Schizosaccharomyces pombe: one gene and its partner. Changing the gene in region 2 together with the main gene of any one other region gives a genetic interaction. Each region holds a gene or a part of one and is shown on either strand. Other genes may lie near its edges. The genes, in order: toe4 and mug14.

The links.
Region 1: mutations in mug14 (region 2) and toe4 together harm fitness less than expected from each alone (positive genetic interaction), as found in Schizosaccharomyces pombe (one large-scale study listed by BioGRID).

What each region holds. Positions count from the first base shown.
Region 1 is NC_003424.3:115,543-122,534, forward strand, and holds toe4 (transcription factor), read right to left. Parts: upstream 4,692-6,992; 5' UTR 4,567-4,691; coding exon 2,653-4,566; 3' UTR 2,519-2,652; coding exon of another isoform or gene 1,151-2,518; 3' UTR 512-1,150; downstream 1-511. Other genes in the region: mfs2 (MFS family membrane transporter), read left to right, coding at 1-178; SPOM_SPAC11D3.06 (MatE family transporter), read left to right, coding at 1,151-2,518; SPOM_SPAC11D3.08C (amino-acid permease), read right to left, coding at 5,014-6,666.
Region 2 is NC_003423.3:126,478-130,422, reverse strand, and holds mug14 (adducin, involved in actin cytoskeleton organization), read right to left. Parts: upstream 1,814-3,945; 5' UTR 1,599-1,813; coding exon 825-1,598; 3' UTR 681-824; downstream 1-680. Other genes in the region: multi drug resistance-associated protein abc3, read right to left, coding at 3,279-3,945. UniProt on the Schizosaccharomyces pombe protein: Has a role in meiosis.

The DNA of each region.
Region 1 (6,992 bases), on a different chromosome or scaffold from region 2:
CTATTCTGCCAGTGGAGGCATAAGTATGGTGGCCAGGCCTATGTACCTTAATTTAGGAGATCACTGGGCTACTAGTGTGCTTGGTTTTATTTCTGTAGCGATGGTTCCCATTCCTTTTATATTTTATCGTTTTGGCAAGAGCATTCGTGCGTGGAGCAAAAACGCTTACAAATTGTAAGAACAAGTGTGATTATTTGTTGTTGTTGTGTTTATTTAATGTTGATTATAATTGTCATATCATGCATATATCTATATAGTAAGAGAGTGATTGCAAGCAAAGATGAATTTTGGTGCTTATTCTATTTAAAGAACGAATGGATGTTTATAAACTAATTTAGAAAGTTTTAATAAAAACGTAAAGATTTAAAGTTATTTCGTGTTGCATTCTAAAAGTCACAGCAATCTAAATATAAACTTTTGAAAAGCAAAATTAACCGAGAATGATATATGCGTACGCCAAACAACTGGATTCATACTTATACACAGTTATTTGGGAAATTACAAATCGTTTTTTCTGTAATGTTTGTTCAAATCATTATTGACTAATAAATTCACCAAGCTATTTTCTGCTATATATTTTACCACCATCGGTAAGTGTTATAATTATTAACAGTCAATGAGTATGCAAGGTAAAATTACAAAATATTTTTTGTACTCTTTATTCGCTTTCATGCTCAAATTTTTGTACTAATTTCAACAAATTAAGAATAACGTGCGAGTCAATAGCTTCTTAGTCTGCAACCGATTTGTTACCTACTATTTTTAACCAGCGGAGTGAGACGGTAATAATATTTTCACCGGCAAAATATGCTAACTGCTATCATTTAAGTTAGCAAAAACTCGGCGAGAATTCCCAATGTCTGTTGGCTAAGCGAAAAATATTTTGCGTGGGTATTTCTAAATTTCCGTATCTCCACGGATATACTAATGTTTAGCCATGACATCTGAAGTTTTATGCCCTAAATGTGCGGCTTCTAAGCGTTCTCTGATATAAATTTATGGTTCCATCCGTTCAATCAATATGATAAAAGCTTAGTAAACTTTTATTAAAGGAAAATTTGAACCTTCGGTGAACAGACATTAAGAAGTACTCTTTATTTATATTAAAAAATACACCGTATATCCAAATTTTCTCTGAGAAAGCACTATTATGGGTAGACCACTTACAGAGGTGAAATACCTTTTGATAAATTCAGCTCCGGTAATCCTTGGATATGCCTTGCAAAACTCTTTGCAAACTAGTTCAGTTATTGTAACCGGGCGCCTTGGACCAAGCGAGCTTTCCGTAGCTGCTTTTGCGTACATGTTTGCGATGAGCACAGGCTGGCTGATTGCTCTAGGTGGAACTACTGCTTTTGACACACTTGGCTCCAACCTTTGGGGAGCCGGAAAAAAACAAGAATTGGGAATTCTATTGCAAACGGGTTTCATCGTGCTCAGTATTCTATATCTGCCAATATGTTTAGTTTGGTGGTATTCTAAACCCATCCTAATTTTCTTGCATCAAACACCTGAATTAGCTGAAGCTTCACAAAAGTTTTTACGATACCTTATCCCAGGCGGACTAGGTTATGTATGTTTTGAATTGCTAAAAAAGTTTTTGCAAACACAAGAAATCACTAGGGCTGGTTCTTATATTCTTCTAGTTACCTCTCCTCTTAATGTCGCCTTAAATTTTCTACTTGTCCATTATTATGGATTAGGTTTAAAAGGCGCTCCATTGGCAACTGGATTATCGTACTGGCTTTCATTCATTTTATTAACTCAATATGCGAAATACGTAAAAGGGGCAGAGGCGTGGAATGGTTGGAATAAACGATGCTTAGAGAACTTTGGACCTTTTGTAAAGTTATCACTATTGGGTATCGTTATGGTGGGAACAGAATGGTGGGCTTTTGAAATAGTAGCACTAGTTGCTGGTAAACTTGGTGCTGTACCACTTGCCGCTCAATCAGTAATTATGACCACAGATCAATTACTTAACACAATTCCTTTCGGTCTCGGAATAATTACTTCTAATCGAGTTGCCTACTATCTCGGAGCTGGGTTACCTGACAATGCTTCTCTAACTGCTAAGGTCGCAGCAATTGTAGGTGTTGCAGTAGGAAGCGTTATCATGATTACCATGATTGCCGTACGCAATATCTATGGACGGATTTTCACAAATGATCCAGATGTCATTCAGCTGGTTGCTCTTGTAATGCCCTTAGTAGCTGCTTTCCAAATATCAGATTCCTTGAATGGTACAATGGGAGGAGCTTTAAGAGGCACGGGAAGACAGAAGGTTGGCGCTATAGTTAACATTACTGCCTACTATTTGTTTGCTCTGCCTCTAGGAATTTATTTAGCCTTCCATGGCAAAGGTCTTGTCGGTCTTTGGATTGGACAGGTAATAGCGTTATCCATAGTCGGAATTTTAGAACTGAAAATTGTAATGGCAACTGACTGGATTTCCCAATCAAGAAAGGCAATCTCAAGATTTGGTGACTCCTCTGAATTGACTGCACTACTCAATTAGACATTTGGGTCGATGCATGTAGTTGATCAAGCAAAATAGTTTGATAATAGCTTCATTGTTAACCGGTAATGATGTTCACCATGTACATTAAAGCAAATAAATTATTAATAAAACAACGTTACTTTCATATTTTTTTAAAGATTCCTCATAACATTGGTTACTCTGTCAAAATCCCAACTGTTTAAGTCGTTAAGTTCAAAACCTTCAACGATATCTTTAAAAGTAGAATCCGTAACATCATTATTTTTGGCACTGCAAACTTCTTTAGCAACCCGCAAAAGTTTGTCTGCAATTTTGACAAGTTCCAAAGCCACGTCACTAACTGGCTCCATTTCCATAAAAAAATCGTAAATTACATGTAAAAGATCCAAATCGTTAAGTAATGTTTCTGAGTCCGTTTCCGTATCAGTTTCGTGAACAAGGTTATTAAATATTATTAAAAAAGGTGTAAAAGGACAGTATAGGAATATCCATAGCGGATCTGCTTTAACATTGACCCTGAGATCAATGTTGAGTCTATTTTTTAACAATTGAACTGCTTCACGGGCTGCATTAATACAAATCCTTCGATTCTCTGTCGACGAGCTAGGTCTGTGTAATATAATTAAAGTGTTTAAGTAAGAAAAGTAAACTTCCATACCTGCGAAAGTTAAAAATTCGAACCGATCGCTAAGCGATATAGTGGGAGAAAAAGTGTTGTTTAGCAACATTTCATGATACATTTTTATTTCAGAAGGAAGGTTTTCTTCCCACGCTTTCAATTTTTGATGTATTGGTATGATGATTTTTTCTCTCGCTGCCATTTGCGTAGGTGACTTCACGCTGTATAGTCGATTTCGTATTTCACTCTGAATTATTGTCAACGATACGGTAGGAACAAATATCAAATCACCACCAGATTGTACACCAAACAAAAGCTCATATTTGCTATCAGGCAAATTACAATCAATATCCTTGTCGTTAAAAACGGAAGGGGTTCCAAAAATCAAAGAAATATTTTTATCGAGAATATAACACATCCAAAATATCCTTTTCCACGATTCAGCCTTTTCAGGCTCCACATCAGTGGATTGCTTTCTATGTAAGTTTAATTGTTGGGCCATGAGGCAGGCTTGGCCGCACAAAGTCCGACATAAAGAAGAGCTAGACAGGTAAGCTGCGTACTGTGTCATGACAATTAAAGCCTGAACTTTGTCAATGCTCGGAGTAAGAAAAAAGTCGGACTTTTGAACAAAAACCCAAGCTGTTGAAAACAAAGACTCTGCAAGCGTCTTTGAGTTACCAAGTCTTTTCCTAATGCTGCTTAATGCTAAAATAGAATAAAAAGAAATTAGCCAAGCATTATTGCTATGGAACCCGAACGCATAAAGACGTTCGAACTCATACATAAAATCATTATATACGAAGGTAGGCCACCACCAATTTACATGCTGAAAGTAAGACGTGACTAACTCATGGGCTACTTCCTTCTTGGGAATGTCATGGAATGCCTTCTCCCAGTCCGGCAACTGTGGAGGGAACAAGCTTTCCACATTCAGTATCCGAGTAGGTGTATTGTCGACAGGGCTACCTTGTCTGTGTTTAATAACAATCGATTCTGCATCTTTAATTTGTGTAACCAAGGAAGGTAATTCAATAGCCTTATTTTCACGTTTAAATTCTGAAGTTTCAGTAGCTATATCTAACAACAAATCGATTTTTTCTTCAAGCAATTTAAGGCGTCTCTGAACGGATTCTTCACCATCCTCGGGTTTTTCAATGTTTTTACTAATAGTTCCATTAGTAGTTAATGCAAAATTTTCTTGATTTGGAATTGAGTGATCACTCGGTTCTGGCTCATTGCCGTTAATACCAGCGGCATAATCAAACACGGGTAACGTAATTCCCCCAAACGTCTCCTTGCTTCTTTGAACAAGTCTCTTACGGCGAGCACGATTAGAATAATGACAGTCCGCTTGAAAAAGAGTACAAGTCTGACATCTTGGTTGCCCTCGACTACATTTAATCTTCTTCAACCTGCAAAGATCACATGCTTTATTTTGAGACATCTTATGTTAAGAAAAGAGTAATTAAACAACTATCTTAAATTCTAGCTGAATGCGTATCAATTGTAAGCAAGCATTACCGCCTTTGGTGCAGTTTACTGTTAAAAAGCATATACATCTGCAGATTTATTTTAGCACTACTCAAGTCGTGCTTAAGTATAGGTTATAAGGGAAGTGATGATAAGAAAATCTGGACAAGACGATAAGTATACGTACTCGAAAGATAAAAAAAATTTTATATAATCTTATATTACTGATAATGATAACAGAGCCACTAATTCATTAAAAGACATTAAAACAATATTAAGCTATTTAACTAAGACTAGGAACAAAAGAATAAAAAAGAACTGTTAATAAACATACAATTATAAAAGCACAGTAAAAATACAATGAAACAGCGTAGCTGTTGCCAAAAAGAAGAGTTAAGAAAAGTATAACACTCAGGTTAAATTACTCTGTGATTTGCTTCTGGTCAAAATCTTTTGGCAAAGGTAAACTGCTTAAAGATAGTTCATTTAGTGGAACACCAGATATGTACTCGTTCTCCTGTTGAACAGTAGGTATTGGACCTGTAAAAAAAGTTTTACCACCAATCTTTGGCAAATAATAATACACCACGCAAAAGACCATTACAAATCCAAGGACCACTATAGCCCAATTCATCTCATCTTGGTTGGGCTTTTGATATTGAGGAAACAAAAGCATAAGAATCATAAACCACATCCAAACTAATGACCATAAGGCTGCTGGTTTGCTCCATTTTCCAACGTAGAAAACACCAGGTTGAAATTTATTGTACACAAATCGACACATAAGAGGGCCGGAATAAGCGATATAAAGAGCAATAATTGCTAAATTAAACACAGAAGAAATGGCAGTGACATTAACCAAAATTAGTAGACCGACTAAAAGGCTATAGAGTAGCACTAAAAGAATTGCATTTAAGGGAACTTTCTGTTTAGTCAAAAGACGTAAGTATCTACTTCCTGGAATCCCGCCGTCTCTGCAGAAAGCAAATACTTCTCTAGATGCAGCAATCAGTAACGAAATGCAGTTCAAACAAAGGGCAATGACCAGCAAAGAGAAAATTCCTAAAGCTCCCTTATTTCCAACATTGTTAACCAGTACTTGAGCTACAGGCTGGCCTAAAGAGGAACCTAGAATGGCATTAAAATCGTGACCCATAGTAGCTACAACGGTGATAACGATGCACCATCCAAGAATGGTAGCCACACCAAGACTGGAAATCATAGCAAAGGGAGCTGCTTTGGCAGCATTCGTTGATTCTTCAGCAACAGCGGCGCTAGATTCGAATCCGCTTACAACCCACACAGGAGTAGTGAATGAAAGTATAAATGCCCATCCCATGTTTGACCATCCAGAATAATTTGTAAAATCACCGAATATAAAACTTCCAGAATTTCTAGTAGTAGAGTCAGATCCTGCGGCAAGGGCAATAATAAGAATAATGGATACAAGGAATTGGAAGGTAATATTAATGATGTTCACCTTCGCGATAACACGAGAGGGAATTGCAGTCATGGCAGAAATCACGAAAAGCAACGCTGCGTAAATTCCGTACTGTTCATATTTTGTAGGTGAATAAGAAGGACTACCTATCACAGCTAGTGCCTGTACCATAGATGATGCAGAGTACACTGTTGAAGCATAAATCGTAGCGTAGCCAAGCACTGACACGTAACCACAAACCCAGCAGAGAAATGCTCTTGACGATGGTGATGCTAGGGTAAAAATCCAAAAATAAAGACCTCCAGAAGTAGGCATAGAAGACGCCAGTTCGCCCAATGATATACTTACTGGAATCAGACATATACATCCAATAATCCATGACCAAACCATGCCTCCTCCTCCACAGTTCATCGAGAAAATGAGTGAACCCGCCATAGCCGGACAAAGACCCATTGATCCAAACGATTGACCAAAAATGCTAACGTAAGAGAATTCTCTAGTGAATTCTGGTTTGTAACCAAGGCTCATCAGAAGCTCATCATCTTGATTAGCTTCTCTGCTTTCGCCCAACTCAACTTCATTTTCCCATTGCTTCTGATTTTGTTTTAAGCTTTCTTTGTCGATGTCACTCATTGTAAATGCTGAATGTGAGTCGTCCTTACAAGCAGAAAACTCTCAAAGCAAATTGGTCTTAGCAAAATTAGCAGCTCGTAAATATTTTATACCAAATATTTTGAATAAGACTAAAGATCTATATGTCAACTCCTCCAAGCCGAAATAGCCACACAAAGCTTGTTTGTCAAAAATTTTATGATCACCGAAAGGGTATATGCTTGCAGAGGCTTTTGTGACTAAATATGTCTTTATTCAAAAGCAAAAATGAATTTAACCATTTTATAAGACTTTAAAAGTTAATCATAAAAGCCCGAATTTCCTCGCCTTCCGTAATTTATTTTCCT
Region 2 (3,945 bases):
CATTTTTGGAATAACTTTAGTATATAAGGAATTACTACATTATGATAAAACAATGAGAGTTAAACAAATAAACGAACATGCCATAAAGTAGCGCCATTCATTCATTTATATATATAAGAGAGTGCTTCAGCTTCATAATCAGTTTTCATGAGCCAAATAAAATCATTATTAAGCCGATGATAGAAAATAACAAAAAAAAAGCAAAAATATTTTATTTTCTCTGTAATCATATACAATAAAGCAAACTCGGTCCTTATTGAACACTGGCTATTTTATTAATGCGCATCAATTTGAAAAAAATGGTATGTTAGCAGCGTTCGCTACGCCGCGATGCATTTGCCACACAAAAGATGGTAATTATTTAGACTTGCTAGACTCCAAAAAATATTTTATTTACAGTGCATCAAATACGACTTGAACTTCAATGATAGATTCTATTACTTCAATGAGAATTATTTTCATCTCCTATTATTCAGTTGCCTACACGCTGCAATATAACAACGCACTGCTTTTCAACGCTATTCACTCATAAGAAACTGCACAACCCAAATGAATATTAAAAGTCATCTGAAACCATAATTTAACGAATTATCGTAATATTTGAAATGGTTCGTAAACATTGTTACGTTAAAGTACCTTTCAAAAGTTACATTCTACGCTATATTTTGCGTTTTAACTAAAGGGGAGTTTGTAAAAATTTAATTGACATTACATAGGCTTTAAATAGCAAAAAAAGGACATAAATGAATTTTAAATTTTTGCTACAAATACTGTAAAAACGTACAGTAGAGTTGAGGTAAGAACGTATCAGACAAATGCATTACTCAAATTATTTCTAGTTCCCCATTTGAACAAGCAACTTCATACAAAAAGTTGGGTTGTTGAGCAGTGTATAGACCCACTGGGTTATCAGCATTTTCGCGAATAGCTTTGGCACGAGTGGGATGAACGTGCTTTCTTTCTCCCACCTTGGTTGCACTATCAATTAACAACTGAATTTGGCATGATCGCTCCATCAATGAAAGAAGATATGCTGCCTCATCCACAGTAGTACCAACTGTCATAATGCCATGATTCTGAACAAGAACAGCTTTATAATCTGCTAATCCTTTAGCGGTACGTCTTCCTTCTTCTGGCATCGATATCACATCATCCATGTCAAAATAAATTCCATGATTATTATAAAACACACAACAGTCTGTGTTCAACATATCCAATGGCTTTCCCAAAGCTGAAAATGCCTTACCGTAAATTGAGTGTACGTGACAAACACAAATTACCTCAGGTCGCACTTTGTGCATTTCATAATGGATGGCAAATCCCGAAGTATTATACTTCATCTTGCTTCCACCAATGATTTCGCCATCGCTGTTGATATGAACCAAATCGCTAGGCTTCATCAAGGAAAAGGGGACTTCCAAAGGATTTATCCAAAAAGTATTCTCATCAATTGGATCCCTTACAGTAACATGTCCTGCTGTTCCTTCATTATATCCATTTCTACCAAACATGCGAAAAGCTGCAGCCATATGATTAAGCATCCATTTTCTTTTAGTATGTAAGTCTTCAAATTCAGGCAATCCAGTTACTTTAGCCATTTTGTATTAAAAAAAAATAATTCAAAATGATATTAATTTCTTTGGTATTTCGACAGTGCAGATATAGGCGAATTATTGTAATTCACTTTTAATAGCTTCAGAAAATAAAGACAATTTCATTCGTGAACAGAGTATGTATATAAATAAAATTTTGATTCCTTTGTTGATAATTACCCTTTCGAAATAGAGGGGTTCGAAACGATGAGGGGTTGGCTGGCCTGTTCGTGGAGTAGTGAAAAACTTTAAAGTAAATACATGATTGAATTCATTTTCATAAAACAAACAGTAACACAAATTAGATTTAATGCTTATTAAGAACAACTGAACATTTTCAGTTAATAAAAATGCTTGTAACGCACATTTTCTCAAGCAAATTTCAACAAGTTCTTCTTGCTTAAGATACTAAAAACCGTCTTTTTTAAAAGGCCAGAACTGTTTTGTCACATGGGGGTCTTAATATTTTAAGTTATAATTTGCTTTTTTAAAAAACAGCAAATAAGATTTAAATCGCAGAATGCTATTAAAGTTCGTTCATGTTGCGAAGGTTCCCCGGTTAACCTTACCAAGCTCACAAAAGCTCTGGTTCTTCACGATCTTCTCCGCATTTTCAACTTTATATGATCAAGGTTAATTCAATCAATATTATTGGACAGATCAATTTAATTACAGTGACATCATAAATAGAAGCTAACAAACTTACAATAGGAATTGTTAACGATTCTTCACTAAAAGTAAAGTACTCTCTACACTTCAAATGAAGCAAATTATATAGGTTTTTTTCGTGCTTCTTTTCATGTTCCTTTGTTCGATTTTTTATTTTTTTATTGACTGCTCTGAAAGGCATTTTAAGGAAAAATATTTTATTTTTTTGGAAGCAATGCCTTTAAGTTCACTAGATCGTTCTGGAGCGATGTAGCTTGGTATTGAATTTGTAAACATTAGTATATTCCAAAATGTTACCCTAAAAGTTTAGAAAGAAAATGTACGCAATGATGTTAAGGCTGGTGCTAACTTTTGATAGAGACGTTAGGACTTAATAATTACAACTTTCGTTATTCCGCCGAATTTAATTTTATGAATTGCTACGGTACCAGAATATTATCGTTCTATTTGAGTTAACAGGAAATCTAATACGCGAATGAAACTAGTAAAGTCTAGGTGAATGTCAATTTGACGAAGCATTGCACGGTTTTGCAACGATATTTTATTTGATATAAAGCCATATTTTTTAACACTCTAATTTCAAGTAAACATCTAATCATACTTACCCTCCTCGAATGCTAACGCTTTTTTTTCTTAGAAATTTGATCACTTTATATCCCGAAGCCTTTACGTTTGATTTTCTTTTTAATATACTGTATGAGTTATTTTAAATCTATTTGTTGTACTGCGCCATATAATCTAATCATATTCATTTCCAAAAATTTAAGTATTCATTCATTACCACAAGAATATCAGGCTAAACGTACAAAGAAGAGTAGATAACCAAAAAGTTAGCGAATTAAACCGTAGATATCAGTGATACTGCTTTTACGAACAAAATTATCATGTAAACATAAAGAAAACTTCATTTTGTATATATATATTTTTCTGAACGTGTAAAAAACCAATAGCTTCAATTGCAAGTATGATATGATATCTAGATTTATTGTAATACAGGTAAAGAACGATTAAAAATTATTAAATGAGACCGCTTTCTTTAGCCAACGAATAAAACATCGAGTCTTTGTTTTCCAACAATTTTTTAGTTGCATCAAATTCAACCACTTTTCCATGATCTAAGACTAAGATGCGATCTGAATCCATTACCGTATTAATTCTATGTGCAACTGTTAAAATTGTACGATCTTTGAAGCGTTTGCGAATGGTCTGCTGTACAATAGCATCAGTTTCAGCATGGACTGATGCTGTTGCCTCATCCAGCAATAATATACGGGTCGAAGTAAGTAAAACTCTTGCTAAACATATTAATTGGCGTTGACCAGACGAAAAATTTGCACCTCCTTCAGCAACCCTAGAATACAATCCATCTTCCAACTGAGAAATGCAGTTTTTTAGAGAAGCAATTTCTAATACCTCCCAAATTTTTTTATCAGTTAGTCTATGATTCGGATCAAGATTTTCTCGAATGTTGCCCTCAAATATTTGACTTTCTTGTGGAATGATAGATAATCGCGAGCGCAAGTCGTATAATCCAAATTTCGTTATGTCTTCGTTATCTATTTCAATTTTTCCTTCAGTTGGTTCAATTATTCTAAACAATGCCATCGCCAAAGTTGATTTTCCTGCCCCGGTGCGACCGACGATACCGATCTTTTCCCGTGGGGAAATTTCAATGTTAATGTTA